Rattus norvegicus: one gene and its partners. The protein of the gene in region 1 interacts with the protein of each later gene in a pairwise test. Links are inferred from orthologs where the notes say so. Each region holds a gene or a part of one and is shown in the gene's direction. Other genes may lie near its edges.

What was found.
Region 2: the proteins of Cnksr1 (region 1) and Cyth4 interact in binary tests that used the Homo sapiens proteins (3 or more experiments, as listed by UniProt). The two-hybrid records come from large-scale screens. The link is inferred for Rattus norvegicus from reciprocal best matches to the Homo sapiens genes CNKSR1 and CYTH4.
Region 3: the proteins of Cnksr1 (region 1) and Cyth3 interact in binary tests that used the Homo sapiens proteins (3 or more experiments, as listed by UniProt). The two-hybrid records come from large-scale screens. The link is inferred for Rattus norvegicus from reciprocal best matches to the Homo sapiens genes CNKSR1 and CYTH3.

Annotation. Positions count from the first base shown.
Region 1 is NC_086023.1:151,738,263-151,744,655, reverse strand, and holds the start of Cnksr1 (connector enhancer of kinase suppressor of ras 1), read left to right. Parts: upstream 1-2,606; 5' UTR 2,607-2,611; coding exon 2,612-2,855; intron 2,856-3,100; exon of another isoform or gene 3,101-3,902; coding exon of another isoform or gene 3,903-3,906; intron 3,907-5,243; coding exon 5,244-5,401; intron 5,402-5,509; coding exon 5,510-5,691; intron 5,692-6,356; coding exon 6,357-6,393. UniProt on the Homo sapiens protein: May function as an adapter protein or regulator of Ras signaling pathways.
Region 2 is NC_086025.1:112,029,955-112,036,461, forward strand, and holds the start of Cyth4 (cytohesin-4), read left to right. Parts: upstream 1-2,827; 5' UTR 2,828-2,887; coding exon 2,888-2,906; intron 2,907-6,507. UniProt on the Homo sapiens protein: Promotes guanine-nucleotide exchange on ARF1 and ARF5. Promotes the activation of ARF factors through replacement of GDP with GTP.
Region 3 is NC_086030.1:16,043,219-16,049,603, reverse strand, and holds the start of Cyth3 (cytohesin-3), read left to right. Parts: upstream 1-2,175; 5' UTR 2,176-2,296; coding exon 2,297-2,330; intron 2,331-6,385. UniProt on the Homo sapiens protein: Promotes guanine-nucleotide exchange on ARF1 and ARF6. Promotes the activation of ARF factors through replacement of GDP with GTP. Plays a role in the epithelial polarization.

The DNA of each region.
Region 1 (6,393 bases):
AGCTAAATCCCCAACCCCTAACTTTATTTTTTTTTTTTAAGATTTATTTATCTATTCTATATAAGTACACTGTCGCTGTCTTCAGACACACCAGAAGAGGGCATCGGATCCCGTTACAGATGGTTGTGAGCCACCATGTGGTTGCTGGGATTTGAACTCAGGACCTCTGGAAGAGCAGTCAGTGCTCTTAACCACTGAGCCGTCTCTCCAGCCCAGCTTTAATTTTTCTAATGCCATTTATTAATAAGCACCTCAGCATATCACATCTGTGTCTTGGGTTTTTTTCATTTTTCTTTTTAAAGAGAGCATTTAAACATTTTTATGTGCATGTTTGCCTGCATGAATGTGTGTGTGCCATTATCATGACTGGTTTACCTCAGAGGCCAGAAGGGGTCATTGAATCCCTGGAACTACAGTCAAAGACAGCTGAGTATCCAAGTAGGTGCTAGGAACTGAGCTCAGGTCCTCCGGAAAAGCAGCCAGGGCTCTTAACACTGAGCTGTCTCTGCAGCCCTTGTGCGTTCCACCATACCTGGCCAGCATTCTTTGAGAATAAATATAAATAAAATATATATTATTACATGCTTACATTGAAATTCTTATTGGCGTGCATCACTGGGTTGCTATGTAGTCCTGACTGTCCCGGAGCTCACAATGTAGATCAGACTCTCCTTGAACTCATAGAACCTACCTACCTCTGCCTTCTGAGGGCTGGGATTAAGGTGTGCACTACCACACCTATCCACAGATTTGTGACTTGTTATAATTGTTGGTGTGATTCTAAACATTGGTTTGTGCTTTTTTTTTAAAGATTTATTTATTTTGGGCTGGAGAAATGGCTCAGCCGTTAAAGGCTAGGCTCACAACCAAAAATATAAGATGTATTTATTTTTATGTATGTGAATACACTATCACTGTCATCAGACACACCAGAAGAGGGCATTGGCTCCCACTACAAAGATGGTTGTGAGCCACCATGTGGTGGCTGGGAATTGAACTCAGGACCTCTGGAAGAGCAGTCAGTGCTCTTAACCACTGAGCCATCTCTCCAGCCTGGTTTTATGCTTTTTTTAAGAAAAGATTTGTGAGTATGGGTATTTGCCTGGGTTTTGTACCATATTCATGCAGTTCATGAGGAGACCAGAAGAGGGCGTCAGATCCCCTGGAACTGGAGTTACAAGACAGTTGTGAATCAACATGTGGGCCCTAGGAATTGAACCTGGTTCTCTGCCTGTTTTTAACTGTTGGCCATCTCTCCAGCCCTAATTGCTGGCTCTGTGTTACAAACTGTTTTTGGAAACTGAGGCACGAAAATCACTGGAACCCATGAGTTGTAGAGCACTGTGAGCAACATAGAATTAAAAGCAGCTTAAAATTTGTAGCAAGAAAGCAAAGTGCGGGCTGGAGAGATGGCTCAGTGGTTAAGAGCACCGACTGCTCTTCCAGAGGTTCAATTCCCAGCAACCACATGGTGGCTCACAACCATCTGTAATGGGATCTGATGCCCTCTTCTGGTGTGTCTGAAGACAGCTTCAGTGAGTGTACTCACATAGATTAAATAAATAAATAAATAAATAAATAAATAAGTCTTTTTTTAAAAAGATTTATTCATTTACTATATATAAGTACACTGTAGCTGCCTTCAGATACACCAGAAGAGGGCATCGGATCTCTTTACAGATGGTTGTGACCCACCATGTGGTTGCTGGGAATTGAACTCATGACCTCTGGAAGAGCAGTCGGGTTCTCTTAATCGCTGAGCCATCTCTCCAGCCCATAAATAAATCTTTTAAAAAAGAATAAAAGTGCTTTCAGGAGGCAGCTAATATATCTGCAAATGTCTCTCGGGAATGGCTGGTGAGTTTACTCTTCACTTATGGTGACCAATAAAGGCATGTCGTGTCCTAAAATAAGTAATAACTGAATTGATTAAAGTCTTACTTTGAGAAAGGGACTCTTAAGTCTCATCAGATTGTCAAAGGGACAGAGTCTCGAGCTGAGGCTTTTGTTTCCTTAGATTTTAGTTTCTGCTGTTTTCATTTTGTTTTGGAATGGACTCACTCTGTAGTCCAGGCCCTCCCTGAACTCGAGCGATCCACCTGCCTCAGCCTCCAGAATCCTGAGATTACACCATTTACAGTTAGCATTTGCTCAGATATACTCGCAAATGTCCCATAGAGCAAGGACTGTTATGCCCTGGAACTGAGCACTGAAAGTTAGGTCAGCTGTCTGTGCGACAACTCCAAATAGCAATAACGAGATAACACAGGGATCTGGGGGTTGGTGGTTGGGGGCTAATCATGCTCTTTGCTTCTGTGCCAAACATTCACCAAGTACTCTTTTGAGGGAGTGCTGAGAGGTTAGGGTCCTCTCGGCTGGGGTATGGGCCTAGTTGTTTGTTTTTTGTTTTGTTGATATTTGAGACAAGTCTTGATACATAGTTCTGGATAGCCTGGAACTCACTATGTAGACCCGGCTAAGGTCAAACTTGCAGGGATCCTCCTCGGTGAGGCCAGTTTTGAATGAACACCATGCCAGTTCCGGACTGCCTGAGTCACACCTCTTGGCGCCAGCCCAGGAGTCCCAACTGCTTAGCTGCCAAAGTCCTAGGATGGCAGAGGGGCAGGGCAGAAGGAAGACAGGCGGTGGACCAATGACAGTGGCAGCGCCTCACCTGGGTGGCCACGTGGGCCCAGGTATGCAGCGGCTCCGCCCTGCTACTCTGGCCCAGCCCCGCGGGCTCCGGGCTCCGACTAGGAGCGGAAATTCCTGCAGGGTCTGGACGCTGCGGGCGGAGCTCAGTATGGAGCCCGTGGAGACCTGGACCCCCGGGAAGGTGGCAGCTTGGCTGAGAGGTGGGTGAACCGGGAGAGGCGGGGGTGGGGTGGGCTCAAGGGGATTAGTGCGGTGTCCCTTGGACCAAAAAGTAGGGAGGAAAAAGGAGAAAGAACCTGCGGAGTCTATTAGTCAACAGGTATTTATAGAGCGTCTGCCCTGTACCAGCCTACCAGAGTCCCCTGTACAGGCCAGGCGACACTACAGGGCCCAAGACGCAGGAAGGGGTCTTTTCTGGACTTTTGTGTGTTCTAGCGCCCGCCAGGGTGGCAGGAGGCCACCTGGTAATAGGTAAAACAGGGAGGCTCTGGTGGCCCACGCCCCCTTTATCTCCGTCATCTTCTCTGTGCCCCAGGGCCCTGAGAGCTATTAGTAAGCCCATTTTTCAGAAGTAGAAACATACACAGAGCCAGGAAGTGATTTATTCAGTCTTGGAACAGGGCCGGCCCTGGTGTCATTTTCCCAGCCTGAGGTTGGCAGTAAGAGAAACAGAAACCCCAGTCATACTGAAGGGGTGACACAACTCCGCCCTGGGGCTTCCGTCGTCGGGAGTGAGGATCACTCCCCAGGTGACCAAGAGTCACAAACACAGTTAGACTCAGGGCGATCTGTGACTGCAGCAGGGAGTGTGCAGGCTGGGGGTGGGGGGGGACGACGACAGCTGGAGCCTGCCTGGAGGCCTTCTCCGTGTGAGCAGCCCAGCAGAGCCCAGTCAGACTCCCACACTGGGGCCCAGACCAGCACTACCAACTCACCAGGACGGTGACCACAGGTCTGGCTTTCACTGTTCATGAATCGGACAAAATGAGGAGGACGGCAGACCAGCACATTCAACACAGGAAAGAAATTGTCTGAGTAACCCTGGCTCCTGAGCTCCCAATCCAGCGCTCTTAATGGTGCAGGGGAAATCAGGAGGAGCATCTAATGACCACACATTCCCCATGACAGCTCTGGGAGGTTTTCTACCAACGTCTGAACATGCCGCTGCATCTCCGTTGGTTTTCCCAGTTCTGTATCAGGGACGATGATGGGTGGTCCCCACCTTGTAGAAATGACAAAGGAGCCAGATGGGTAAAGTTGGTTTTTGGTTTTTGGGTTGGTTTGTTCGTTTTTTTTTTTTTTTTGTTTTGTTTTTTTTTTTGTTTTTTTTTTTTTTTTGTTTTTTTTTTTTTTGGTTGTTGGGTTTTTTTTTGTTTTTTGTTTTTTTTTTTTTTTTGAGACAGGGTTTCTTTGTGTAGCCCTGGTTGTGAACTCAGGGATCCTCTTGTCTCCTTGTTCCAAGTGTTGGGATTAAAGGCATGCACTACCACACCAACTATGGGTAAAGTTCTCAAAACATTGCCTCCCACAAAGTCAGGTCATGGTAGACAGCCCGGCAGCAATGTGAATGGCTGTTGATGTGTGACTGTGGACTGAGTGGCCCACAGTCATCATCTACAATGCATGGTTAGAAGCAGGCACTTCTGTCGTTCCCATTTTAGGTATTTTATTTACTCTGTGTGTGTGTGTGTGTGTGTGTGTCTGTGTGTGTGTGTGTGTGTGTGTTACCTGCACATATGTATGTGTACCTGGAGAGTGCTCTTGGATGGTTGTGATTTACCCTGTGGGTGCTGGGAACTGAACCTGGGTCCTCTGTAACAACAGTAAAGTGCCCTTAACTACTGAGCCATCTCTCCAGTCCTGTTCCTGTTGTATGCGAAGAAATTTAGGCACAGAACTAGTCTATATATTTTTTTTTTCTTTTTTTCGGAGCTGGGGACCAAACCCAGGGCCTTGCGCTTGCTAGGCAAGCGCTCTACCACTGAGCTAAATCCCCAACCCACTAGTCTATATTTTAAGTGTTAGCCCCCACTCAGGTCTCCGTTACTCCACGTGCTTGGGGTATGGATACTGGGAAAACAAGCTTAGGTCCCTGCCAAGAACAGTATGGATTGTTCTTAACCACGGAAGCATCTCACTAGCTTCTTTTGTTGTTTTTGTTTTTTTAAAGATTTTTTTTTTAATGTGCATCGGTGTTTTACCTGTATATATGTCTGTGTGAGAGTGCCAGGTCCTCTGGAACTGGAGTTACAGACAGTTGTGAGCTGCCATGTGGGTGCTGGGGATTGAACGTGGGTCCTTGGGAAGAGCCACCAGGGCCCTGTTTGTTGTGTTTCGTGGTGACTATATTTCAAGATATTTGGGCATGAATTCGGTAGATGTCAACGTCAGTAGGTTGGGCACACTTGCTAGAGTCACCGCTGTCTATGGTTTTCGACTCAGAAGAATCAGCCGTGAGAAGGGCAGAACACACCCAGGGTCTCAGGGTTGTCATTAGGGACAGGAGGGAGGGGAAGGGCTCTGATATAATAACATCTCAGAATGGTAATGACACCTGTTTCCCCACTCTGACCCCCTTTTTGCCCCAGGCCTTGATGACGTCCTACAGGACTATCCCTTCGAGGACTGGGAGCTGCCTGGAAAGTACCTGCTGCAGCTCTGTCCCCAAAACCTCGAGGCTCTGACCGTGTGGCCTCTGGGCCACCAGGAGCTCATTCTACATGGAGTGGAACAGCTCCGGGCCCTGGTGAGTGAGCATTGCCCACACTGGCTGTAGCATCCACTAGCTTAGGGGTTTGCCCACGTGGGCTGGCTGCCAGGGCAGATGCAGTAACATGCCCCCCTCGTGCTGCAGGGCTCTAAGTTACAGACTGAGAACCTCAAGAGCCTAGCCCAGGGGCTGCTGGACAGGACCCAGGCCTTCCAAAGCTTGGTCCAAGGCCGTCTGAGAGACTGTGCTGAGACACCCGCCGATGTCCTCAATGCTGCTGTAGAGCTGGTACGGGAGGCTCATGCCCTGCTCTCTTGGCTCAACAGGTACTAGGGATGGACGGGTGACTAGTGACTGTTCTTGTCCTTGGTATCCTCTAGGGTCTGGGACAGAAAAGCAGTCCTTGGCTGTTGATCTGATAGGTCAGAGCAGATCTGTGCTGGGCCACTGGGCCACCTTGCTTCCCACCCCACCCTAGAGCTTGTCGTCTTAATGATTTTATCAACGGTTGAGTTTGTTTGCGTGTTTGATGTGTACGTGTGTGCACACACACGCGCATAGGAGTGTGGCAAAGGTCAGAGCATCTTTTGTAAGGATCAGTTCTCATCTTCCACCATGGCATCTCAGACACTGAACCCAGGGACTCAGGTCGACAGCTTTAGAGGCAAGCATTTTTACTAACGAATCATCTCCCTGGTCCCTCAACCAATGGAGAGCAACTGTCTGTCCTGTGTGTCTTACCTCAAATATCACCTCCTCAGGGATGCCTTCCCTGTTAACACTGTTATAGCTCATTTGTAATACCCAGAACAATTGTAGTTAAAGCATTAATAATATCGCTTTCTGTTAATGGCTGTCTCCCTGGTGCCTACAACGGGTACATACAGGACAAATAAGTTCTGTGCCGAGCAGATCCCACCAAAGGTAGGAATTATCTCCAATTCTCAGGGGACAGTTATGTCCAACATCTTAATTGTCCTTCCCCTCCCAGGTACCTCTTCACTCACTTAAATGACTTCTCCGCCTGC
Region 2 (6,507 bases), on another chromosome or scaffold:
CACTGAAGAAGTGAAACTACAAAGGCCGCAAGAACAGCAGGGGTGGGCACACGTGTGAGAAGCGCTATTTCTGAAGGCTCTACCATCTGGCTTTCCGCTGCAGCCGGAGACTCCAGCTGACAAATATCACTGACAAGACCCCATGTCCAGACAGGTGGCTCGACAGACAACAGCAGTTGGAGGGTGGATCTAGCAACCTCACTCTCTGGGTCCGTGAAATGGGAACCGAGAAGGTTTCAGGACAGAACCTCAGTTTCCAGCATTCTGATCCCATGGTGGTTCTCTGCCTGCCCATGAAAGCTAGCCCTCCCCAGCTCCTCTCTGGTGACACAGAATAGCAATGAGACAGCTGTGGCTTCTATGTGCCCACTCTCTTGCTCTCCTACCCTTTTCTTTTCAGTTTTTGAAATAGGGTGTCATGTAGCCCAGGCTGGCCTCTGACTCACCAACACAGCCAAGAATGACCTTGACTCCTAATCCTCCTGCTATTACCTCCCAAATGCTAGCACTACAGGTATAGACACCGTGCTCATGCCTTCATCTCTGGTATCTATAGGCCCCAGTCCAAACACAGTCCTGACCCTCTGGGATTGGGCCGACCAGCTCCTCCTTTGGACCACCAGCTGTATTGACCACCAGGGCAGGAAGACTCCTGAATTGCTGTAGGCCATCATTGTTTTAGTTGCTGTCTTAGCGTTTGTTTTCCTGTTGTTAGGACAATATACTCTGACAAAAGCAACAGAGTTTCTCTTCTCACAGCTCAAGGGTGGGATCCACCATGAGAGAGGAGTCAGAAGGTTGAGGCAGCCAGTCAAATTCCACCTACAGTCAGGAAGCTGAGGAAGGTGGATGAACACATGCTCAACTCCCTGTCTCTGTTTATACAGTCCCGGAAGCCAGCAGGGAGTGGTGCCACCCACAGTGGGCAGGTCTTCCCTTCCTGATTAACAAAAACCAAGATGACCCTCCACGGTCATGTCCAGAGGTATCTCCCAGGTGGCTCTAGACTCTGTCAAGTTGCGATTTACACTAACCACCCTGATCATCATCCTAGCTCTAGTCCCTTTCATGCCAGGCACTGACTCCTACTTCATAATGTCACTGATCACCACTGTGTCAGATGCGTCCCATATTAGCTAATGGCCAATGACCCTGGGAGGGGTCTCAGGAACCGGGGCAATTCCTAAGAGTGAATTTAGACATAGCAACAGGACCTTTGACCCCAGTTCTCTGTTCCTGCTGTAGCCCCTGGTCCACCCCACTCCCAAGCACCAGTTCCCAGCTTCCTGCTGCCTGTGGAGAATCCTGCTTCTTAATCCTGTGGCCAAACTTGGATGAGAAGCAACAGATGTGGGAGAGACAGCCTGCTCCACTCTGTAAATCAGATTCGTCCAGGCCCCCAGGGCGCCCCCTGCTGTTTATACACAAAACTGCTAGACTCTGAGTCAAAGACACGGGGCTGAGGTCAGACTCCAGGGGAGAAGAGCAGATCCCACTTGTGCATGTGTGTGTGCAAGTGCGTGTGTGTGTGTGTGCGTGTGCACACTCATGCAGGGCCTTGACAAGCTCTCTACCCGTGAGCTAAGTCCCCAGCCTTTTGCTTCTTGTTTCTTATTTTAAGACAAGTTTTCACTAAGCAGTCTGGATGAGACTTACATTTTTAATCCTCCTGCCTCAGTCTCCCAAGAAACCAGGATGACAGGCCTATACCAGCAGGCCAGCAATCTCTGTGTCACTCAAGGAAGGGACTACATGTCTATCTCCCCTTGGTGTATTCATTTATTCATTCATTCATTTGCTCATTCATTAATTCATCCTCACTTGAACACCCCTTTCTCCTCACATTTTACAAGATACTAGGACACAAATGTGACCATGCCCGCACTGGACTTCTAAATAGACTGGAAACAGATCAGTGAGCCAAGATGTGCCCTGAATTCCAAAGAGTAAGCCCTCATCTTACCGACGTTTCTTTGAGCCATCCCCCTTTCCCTCCAAGATCTGAACCGACCTGTCAGAAAAGGCCTGAGAGATGGAGCAGCCAACGGGGGGAGGGGGGGTGTATTAAAGCCTAAAGGAAAAGCTTTTTTTGAGCACCTACTACGTTCCAAGAATCTCACATGTTCTCTCTACATTCCCAAGGTTGAGTGTGCACACTCCCTTCACAGGAAAGCAAAGTGAGGCTCCGTGTAATGTGTGACCAGCCCGAAGTCACATGCACCCGGAGTGGAGGAGCTGAGGGTCAAACATCTGAATCTGGCCACAAAGTCACCTGGAAGAATTAACGGATTTGATGGTGAGTTTTCCAGCAGCCTGGGGAGGGAGAGAAATTAGGCACTTTGTGAGGCATGGGGGGAGGATGGCATTCCTTTGAAGGAAAGCGAAGCCCTGCCCTTCCCTGTATGACTTTGTCTTTTCTCGGGTGAGATTTCACAAGGAAGAGTTCAGAGAGGACCCTTGAAGCTGGAAAACCCTTTGGCTTATATATAAAGAGGTTGCTGGGTCAAGGCCCAAGCCCCCAGAAGAGGTCCATCCTTAGGACCTTCTCTGTGACTGAGCTTGTGGATACCCATAATCTATCTGTCTGTCTTGTCTGTCTGTCTTTACCAGTGGCCTGCCTCAGATCTGCCTTTCTTCTGCTTTCTCACCTTCCAAGAACTCAAATGCCAGGGTCTAAGCTAACTGGTGAAACTCAACTGCCTTTAGGAAGTGCTCACTGCGTCAGGAGCCTGCGCACAGACCCCTGTGGCCTGGGCTGACTTCCTCCCACAGGGTCTGGGCGGGGCAGACAGGAAGGGGCCTTGACTGGTCCTGGTGGCTACCCACCAGAGCAGCCTCTGAGCCAGCAAGACAAGCAGCTGGGCCGCCTTCCCCCGGGGGCTTCAGAATGGATGTATGTCATGCAGGTAAGCAATAGGTCTTAGCCACAGGTCTCAGCCCTTTCCTCCTGCAGAACAGGGACACAATGGCAGCCATGCCTGAAAGACCTGGAAATAAAACTGGTTTTAACTAGTCGCAAACATCAAACTCTGTGTGCAGAGGCAGGCACCAGGCTAGACTCCAGGTCTCAGGGTCTCACAGGGATCTGAGTGGTCACTAACCTTCTGGGCTCTGCTGTAGCTATGGGGTGGATGGTGACAAACGAGATAAAAGATAGATAAGACAGGAGATCAAGGACTAGGAGAGAAGAAATTTAGAGGCCTCAGCATGACACAGCTCAGGAAAGAGAGTTCTTGGGAGTCCCCAGGAAGAGTTTTCAGGAAGAGGGAATGTCGTCTGCAAGGGCCCGGAGGTGGCTGAAAAAAATGACTTTGGATGAAGGTGGATACTATTGGTGGTGACACGTACCTGGCCAGTGTGAGGGACCACAGAGCCTTTTCAGCTCTTAGGGTCTGGTGACCTTTGATGGAGGCTGGGGACACTGACTGAAGGACTAACACGTTCAGTGAGGCCCTGGTGCCAGGGTTCACTCAGTAGCCAGGGTGGTGGGTCTGAAGGACAGAGAAAAGGGAGGCTGTGAAGTTGACACTGGAGGGACAGGGAGCAGAGAGCAGGGCTGTGGGAGGAGCTTTGTCCCTGTGCCCTGAGCCTCAGAGAGTTCTCTTGGAATTGGAGGCTCTGAGGGACAGCAGCTGCTAACTGTCTGGATCCCCAGGTCTCCTAACTGGTTCAGAGTGATACCTTTCCCCAAATGAAACCTAATGCTGAGCAGCCAGGCCCCACCCGCTGACACTGGGCCGTCTCCAGATGCTGGGCCTTGTTCTGAATGCCAGGAACATAGAAACCTATCAGGTTCTCCCTTCATTTCTTCTTTGTTTGTTTGCTTGCTTGTTTGTTTGTTTGTATCTATCTATCTATCTATCTATCTATCTATCTATCTTTCTCTCTTTCTTTCATACCCCGCCCTGGCCGCCCCTTTTTTTTAGATTTTTGGAGAGAGGGTTTCTCCATGTAGCCTTGGCTGTCTTGGAACTAGCTCTGTAGACCAGGCTGGCCTCCACATCACAGAGCTGCCTCTGCCTCCCCAGTGCTGGGATTAAAGGCTTGTCCCACCGTACCTGGCTCCCTCGGGCTCTTTCAACAGCCATTCATTTATGGACGGGACACAGGAGGCTTTGAGGAGACATGATATAAGAAGAGGCTACGTCTCTGGCCACCAAAGATCTCCTTAACATAACCTCTCCACTGTGTCTCTGGGGCTTTTGGGGGCGGGGAGAAAGGGGAGGTGTGTTAAGTTCCACAGAGACCCAGGGACTAGGCTGAGGCTCAAGGCCAACATGACGGCAAAGCGAGACCAGGCAAAGGGTCTCCACAGACCAGTTCATCTTTCTGTTTGTTCTTTATTTATTCATTTTACAAATAGCCCTGTGGTGTGCTTCCCAATGACCAAAGGGGAGCTGGCTGACCAGGGTGCTGAGTGGAGGGACAGAGGACTCTAATCCTTACCTGGCCACACCCACAAATGAGGAGAATGAAGAGAGGGACTGGGGACTTCCTGGAGGAGGCACCTGGGAAGGGAAAGATCTTTCTGTTGCCCAGGTCCCACAGGAGCCCGTGGCGTCCAGGGCTCTCCTCGGATTCATTGTCTGCGGACGACTGTTCCTTCGTCCTCCCAGACGACCTCTGAGAATGTGGGGATCTGCCCTGCGGGTGGCAGGGCTGGGTCTCCTCCACAGCAGGCCTGGGTTCCCATGTGATGGTTATGACTGGGGATGGAGGTAAAGGCTCTCCCAAGCTGCCTCTGGCTCCTGCCATGGACCTGTATTATATACAGTGGAACAGGCTAAGGCCCTTCCCCAGGGCCTGCTGCAAGGCGAGCCCTGAGCACAAGAAAGTCCTGCCTGGTAAAGGCATGAGGGCAAGCAGACTAAAACTAGAGGTCACTGGCAGGGAGAGGAAGTTCCCTCCCCTTCTAGCAAACAGCCCTCAGGAGCCCCCTCCCTGTGTGCCCAGTGGTCCCCCCTTCACTGGGAAAAGGGAAGTGGAGCCAGCTGCCCTGGAAGCTAAGACACAGGCACTAAAAATATGACGGGAAAGAGGAAGGGCAAGAGGGAAGTGGTAAGAGGCTGAGGTAGTGGCTGCCGGGCAGCGGGCCCTGGGCACTCATAGACCTGAGACAGGAGCACAGAAGACAGAGCAGGCTGGGGTCAAGGGTGACCGCTTTTCACACTGTTGTGGCTGTCAGAAGACCCAAGCTTGTGGATTTTACAAGGTTCCAGGGCAGCTGTAGCCTCCAGCCCCAGGTGGGCAGAGCATGAACCCCAGCTCCACCACCACCCAGCTATGTCAGCTGAGAGAGGTCACTTAACCTCTGGGAAGCCCAAGAGTATCTCATAGAGCAGGGAGTTAGAAATCCCCTCTTCAGAGCAGTGGGGGATTGAGAGACAGGATGAGCAGTACACACAGTAGGTCCTTTGTGGAGGAGGAGGTATTGGGAGTACTCAGGGACAGCACACAGAGGGAGGTGGAGCAGCATTGGGAAGCCCATCTTCCACCTTGAGTAAGGCAATCAGATGTCATTGGAGGGCCGGGGGGAAGGATAGACATGGTAGGAAGATTGACAAGACCTGATGATGGCGGTGCCCAAAGGGTAAAGGGAGGTAGTGTCAAGGTGCCTGTGGTTGGGGTACATTCCTAGAGCTCAGTAAGAGGCTGGGTAGAGGGGAATTCTCAGAGTTGTGTAAGGTCCAGGTGCAGCTTGGTAGCCATCTAGGTTTCATGAGAGATGCCACCAGTGGCGGGGCACGCCTTTAGTCCCAGCACTCGGGAGGCAGAGGCAGGTGACACTTGAGGTCAGCCTGATCTACAGATCGAGTTCCAGGACAGCAGAGGGCTACACAGAGAAACCCTGTTGAAAGAGAGAGAGAGAGAGAGAGAAGGAGAGAAGGGAGGAAGGAAAGACAGCACAACAGAAACAACAAAGCATGGTGTCAGCCTCTGGCCTCTACACAGATGAACACACATGCTCATTCATTCTCCAGACACACAGACACAGACAGACAGACAGACAGACAGACAGACAGACAGACAGACACACACACACACACACACACACACACACACACACACACACACACACACCACACACACCCCTGGCTCTCTCGGGCAAAGCCTTGTGTCAGTAACCACGCTGAAATCCCATACTGCTCCTTCCCAGTTGTGTGACCTGGGATATGTCACCTCACCTTTCTGAGTCCCTGAGTCTACCCCATCACGAAGACTAAGTGAACAGGGTCCCTTGGGTGTCCAAGAGCTTGGACTTAAATGAGACTTGCATCCCACTCCTCTCTGCCCCACTTGGAACAGGATCTCTACCCCCTGCAGGGAAAGTCCCACTGAGGCAACAGGCCTATACTCCCGCTTAAGGAGCCCCACACCCCAGCTGCATGTGCAATGGGAAGGGGCACTGTGTGTCCTGGAGGGACCATCCAAGCAGGGGACCTTCTCTGCATCACCATAAGGCTGCTCTGTTCTCTAGCAGGCCGTGGTGGTGACAAAGGGTGGGGA
Region 3 (6,385 bases), on another chromosome or scaffold:
AACCTGAGTTCAAAGCTCCACCCTGGGACATTATCATTTTCAAAGAGTGCTGTTTTTTTGTTTGTTTGTTTGTTTGTTTTTTTCTCAGAAGCGGTTATCTTGAGATAACAAAATGGCCAGGAACAGGATCAGGAAGCCAGAGTTTTGTTCATCAGGACTTGAACCTGCATCTCTTCTCTCAGTCCATTTCTCTGTGGATTTGTCACAAGCAGCTAAACATCTTATCAGCTTGCAGAAGCCTATCTTGCAGTCTAGGAAGCAGCAGAATATCCGGGGTTATAATTCTTGAGGTTATCAGGAAATTGGACTCTTTGAAATCATCCTTTAACCTTGAGCAAAAGGTGAAGGCTGTCTGCTTTGACAGATGGACGATGGAGGAAGCATCCTTTGATTCAACGGGCAATTTGTAAATATGAAACAGTTGCTGGGAAATTTTATTACAGACGAACCATCTCCTCCCTTATAATGTTTGCTTCTCTTTAATGCAATTTAATTCGAGCAGAAAGGCTCGGGAGGGTACACAGGCAATGCTAAGGAGAGGTTACTGGAAACGAGACATATGGACTGAGAGAAGCAAGCCATAGATTTGGAACAGGGACGAACTGAGGCGGTCTGCCCAGCCCTGGGCTGTGCCCACGGGAAATTGAATTCAGAGCTCCCACTGCATCATAAATCCAGGGCAGCTGGCAGCAACCCAAGAGAGACTAAAGCTCAACTCCAAGGGCATCTGACGCCAGGCCGGCCAACCTCTGTAATCAGGCTTTTTGAGAGCTGGGCCCCAGCTGTGCTGGACTGGGATTAGGGTTCAACGTCATGACTACATTCATTTACAAACCTCGATACTTTGTTAATTTTAAAATGCATCCAATCCGCAGGAAAAAGAGACTCCATTTTCATTATACACGGAAGGGATAAAAGGCTGGAATTACCCTAACATCTTGAGGATGAAGAAGGGAGGAGGTGGGGAGAGGGAGAGGCTTCTTCACAGTGGGCTCATTTTCAGACGATGATGATGACGATTATTATTATTGTTATTATTTCAGACAGGGACTCACTAGGTATCTCTGGCTAACCTAGAACTCACTATATAGACCAAGCCCACGAAGAATTCATAGAGATTTGCTTGCTGTCATCAAAGCATCACACCCAATTTTTATTATTTTTAAAATTATTTTTTAAAATAAACATTTGAAAAAAAAATTATTTAGCTGGGCATGTTGGGTCATCCTTTTCTTTTTCTTTTCTTTTTTTTTTCCCCTTCGGAGCTGAGGACCGAACCCAGGGCCTTGTGCTTGCTAGGCAAGCGCTCTACCACTGAGCTAAATCCCCAACCCCTTGGCTCATCCTTTTAGTTCCAGCATTCGGGTGTCAGAGGCAGGAAGACCTCTGAGTCGAAGGTTAGCCTGGTACACACAGAGAGTTCCATGATATTGAGGGCTATGCAGAGAAACCCTGTCTCAAAAAAGTTTTTCTTTTAAATTTATTTTGTGTGTATAGGTGTTTTGCCCGCGTGTATGTATGCACCACAAGCATGCCTGGTGTCGTTGGAGGCAAGAAGAGTGTTCCAGATAACCCTCATATGAGTACAGGTGTCTTTGGAGGCCAGAAGTATCCGATCCTTTTTGGAGCTGTAGTTACAAGGGTTCTGTGAGTGCTGGAAACAAACTCTGGCTCTCTTCAAGAGCAGAGAGTGCTCTTAACAACAGAACTATCTCCTCACACAATTATTACTGTGTGTATGTCATGTTTGGACGCCCATGCATGCTGCGGTCACAGTAAAACTTATAGTTAGTTCTTTTCGTTGAGCCAATCATCATCAGCCTTCCCTTCCAGATCTTTTCCCACTCCCCTACTCCATGCACTTGCGAGTCGCAACATAGCCATTTGGTTTTGTAGAGCGGGGCGTCCTCGTGCTCCTGATAGACACGGCTTCCTCTCCAGGATGCTCTAGAGGGGCAGACACCAGGTTCGAAGGAGGGTGCAGCGCTGCAGGATCCAAGTCTCTAGGCTAAGCAGCTACTGCAGCTACTGCAAGGCCCGGCGGAGTCTGGAGGGCGGGACCACTAGGCGTCTAGTCTCCGCCCACACCCACAGAGGGGGGCGTGGTTTATGTCACGTGACGGCGCCGGAGCAGCGAGGCTCCGCCCGGCCCTCCGTGGAGGCCCGGCCGCGACCCGGGCCGCGCACGCTGAGGAGCTCCTCCGTTCTCCCCGCGACCACTTCTCCTAGTCCCGGCTTTCAGCCCAGTCGCTCCCGCCGGCTCCGGGCTCGCCGGCTGGCTGGGAGTGGCCTCAAGATGGACGAAGGCGGTGGCGGTGAGGGCGGCAGCGGTGAGTGATGGAGGTGTGGCCGGCTCTCTGGGCGGCCCTGAGGCCGGGGGTCGCGCTGTTGAGAGCCCTGGCTTGAGATGTGGGGCCGGGTGTCGGGTGGGTTGGTGGCGACCGTGGGGAGGTGCTCGGGGTAAGGCCGGGACGCGGGCTTCGCAGCGTTGGTGAGAGGACAAGTCGGAGACCGCAGGGTCGTCGCCCAGCGCGGTAGCGGGTCGCGGGTTCGAGGCCAGGGTCTTCGCTGCACAGCTCCAGGTCGCCTTTCCGAGATGGGAGCACATTGCGGGGCGACCTTCCCAGCGTCTCATTGCCAAGGGCGTCCACGCCCTCCCTAGTCCAGCTGTTTCGGACGGGCCCCTCTCCTTTTCAGCTCTCCTCAGGTGTCTGGAGCTTGGGAGCTCGTGGATGGGGAGGGGAAAGTTTTCAATTTGGACGCCTCGGGGCCCGGGGGTGGGGTCTGTTGGATCGGTCCGGGGGAGAGGAGGAAGGTTGGAAGTCATAACAACGTCTCCGGGTTTTAGATCAGAAGTACTCGTTGGGAATGGCTTAAAGGACATGAGGGACAGGCAGCTCCAGTCCAGGTCTGAGTATGCATTTTTATCAAATAGAAAAAAAAAATGCTACAGAGAAGGGGTGGGGTGCAAAAATAAAGAGGGGGGCAAATAGCTGAATGATAGAATAATTGTCTAGCATGGCCCTGAGTTTGTTCACAACACCACCAAATGGAAAATATAATTAAGAAATTAAAGGGGTCAGGTGGGATCTCTCTAAAGCCGAGGGTGGGAAGCGGGAGCCACAGCCAACAAGGCTGTAAGACTCCAGGACAGGTGTGTGTGGCAGACACCCTTCCTGAGGTGGTTATCATTTCTCAGGGGCAGACACCCTTCCAGAGGTGGGTTATCAGTTCTCGGTGTTGCTCAGGCTCTATGTGCCTGACTTTGAATTCTGTCCTCCTGCAGATGTGCTGGTTGCAAATTACTCAACGGATTACAAATTCCTGTTGTATCATTTCATGAATTTGGTTTCCCAAAACATTAAGAGTCCCCGTTCGTCGAGTGGGTCTTTGATTGAGAAAGCAAGGGGTTAATAATGTACCCATCATTTTTACCCAAACACCCCAAGTTGAAGCTGTCTGGACTTTGAGTAACGATCTTCCTTTTTGCTGACAGAATGATCAGAGTCCCATGTAATAAGGGAGTGTTTAGGGGGGAAAAAAGTCTTAATTACAGGCTGCTGGAGCAGCTGCCTGTAAGAATCAGCAATATTGAAGACTTCCCCGTGAAGTGGTTAATCAAGGTGCCTTCTAGAATTCCAGAGCTTCTCAGATTTTTTTTTTCCTTCTCTGTGAAAGAAACGGGGTGGCTGGGCTGGTAGGAAGTTGGCACTCCTCGTGGCATTTGCCAAGTTCAGTTCTCATAGTAAAAGCCAGGGGTAGCACAGTGGCACCGAGTGGGTGTTTTGTTTGTGAAAAGAAAGAGCCCAGTTGCAAACCCTCCTACAGACCGGCTGCGGGGCTGGAGGCACTGGATCCCTGTGGATGCCTTGCCTTTCGCCTATATCACAGTTTGACATAGTTTAGAAAAGACAGGACAGTGGCAATTGGACATTGGAATCCAGGAAGCTGAATTGGGGACGGCTTTGCAGGTGCTGCAGTCTGTTGAGTCAACATGTGAAAGATTTGAAGGTAAAAGCAGATACAGTGGGGGAAACTTAGAAGCCAATGTGTTTCAGCAGTCCCTGGAATTTGAGAAGTATAATGAAGGTCAATATTAAAGTAGCAGGAAGGCTTAAAGCTATCTCTGGACCATTAATGTCTCTGGATATATTAATGTACCAGAGAAACACTCTTAAAATTAAAAAAAAAAAAAAGATGTTCAGTTCAATGATACTGCACTGTCATGGCCAACAGTTAAAAAATGAGACACAGTAACCGCGACCAGGTAAGGTTACTTCAGGGAGACATTACAAATTGACAGCTGGAGCTCACTCTCCAGGAGCCACATGGTGGAGGAGGGCCCTGCCGCCCACAAGTTGTCTTCTGACCTCCTCAGGCAAGCAGCAACAAGCTTGCGCACACATGCAGTTTTAAAAAGTTACCAAGGACAAGCAGTTCTTTTATACATTCTGATCTAAACAATGTAAATACTGCTGTCATTATGGATTTTCTCTTATATTTCCCAGGTTTTTTGAATAAGAACACATGCTTTCAAATTTAGACCAAAAAAAAAAAAATCTGGGCTTATAAAAGATCCACATATTTTAAACATACAGCGTGATTTAATTCACCTTCCTGGAACATTTGACAACAAAGAGATTTATTGATTTTTTTTTCTTTCCCTGCTGGAATGCCAGACAGTGTGCTATGTGATAGAAAACGGCTTTTTAATTTTTATTGATTCAGCTTATCAAAAAAAAATCTTTCCTGCTCACATTGTGGTAAGATACTTACGGGTGCTTTGGCATCTTTTTTTTTTTTTTCCCGAGAGTTGGGGACCGAACCCAGGGCCTTGCGGCCTGCTAGGCAAGCGCTCTACCACTGAGCTAAATCCCCAACCCCAGGAGAGACCTTTAATCTGCATCTGGGAGCCCTGTTTCAGCTTTCTTAGAAGATTAAAAAAAAAAAAAGCTAAATGTATTCGAATAGTAGTTAGAGCAGAGGGGAAGGTGACTGGCAGGGTTTTCTTTATGGTTAGTGCGTTGGTCAGGCAGAAAGGACTTCAGGGATGGTCGTTTTTATAACTGAACTTCTTGTCCAGGCTTTCGTTATTTGTTCTTTGCAGTGCTCGATAAGGCAAGGATGGCGCATGAATGGCTGGAAGGCGGTTACAAGGAGGGGCGAGTGGGGTACGAGATTACAGGAACACATTGTTCCTTGGACTGTGTGCAGAGTGCAGTGAAGGTGTTTTCCCTTGCCTTGGCACTTGGTACCGTTCAGTTCTTCTAGAACAGTTCTTGAACTAGGCCTCTACTTAGAAAGTAACTGGCTAGTTTGGCTCGGCGCCGTCAGGAGATCCTGGTTTCTGAGTGTGCCACTGGGACAGGTTGAGGGGGTGGGCCTGCCTTGTACCGGATGCGTTCCCATCTGGGTGGATGCGGGCAGTTTGTGCTCAGGTGCTCTGAACTTCAGGGTTCTCAGTAAGCGTGAAGGTGAGCTTGGCTGAGATCTCAACTTTCACCTGTCAGACAAGTGCTAAGCCTCAAGTTTGAAAACAGTGTGTTAAGGCCATTTTAGCCTTCGCTGGCGGCAGTACAGATTAGTCACCGTCTCAAGAAGGGTTAATGTACTCCGGGCCCTGTTAGCTTGGATCTGTTTCTTGCCCTTGCCTTGGGGAGGGACCCTGTCCTGCTGGTGCATTTTGAAGACTCTGGAATGACTCTTCTCTAATGAGTCTTCTTGAATGAGGTGAATGGTCTTGCCAGGCTGGGTCTGGCCAGTGGGAGCTACTAAGGAGTTTGGAAGCTGAAAGAATGGAGAAACCAGGTTCTCCTGTAAATGTTCTTGCCCCAGGCCGTGTCTCTGCAGCTGCTCTTCCTTTATTTAGGATCCTGCCCCAGCCACAGGGCCTCTGCTTTTCTAGCTCCTGTCCTTCCTAACCTCCAAGCTCTGGAAATGCTTTCTGCCTTTAGCCTCCCAACAGAAGGGAGAGCTTGTGGCTCCTCCTGGTCTCTGGGTTGTCTTACTGTTTCCTGTTTTTCTGTCACATGCATAACCAATTCCCTAGGCCAATTTCCCTCAACTTTAGAACCTTAAAGAGATGACTGTTTACCCTGTTTAGACCCTGATATCTACGGGAAATGCTGGGTATCTTCTAAAATCACACAGTAAGTCCTCAGATCCAACAGTGCAGCTCTAGGAATTTAACAGGGGAATACATTTTTATTTGCGTGAGGCAATAAAAGCAAAAGATTCTTCATTGCCTTCAATGTCTGTTAGCAGAAAACTTGAGAGAATACACTCTTAGTATAGGGGATGGTGACTGAAGCTGCAGAGTTGAGGGAAGAGGCCACTGAGTTGATCCAGACAGACCTCCATGATGTTTTACTAAATTACAGAAGCA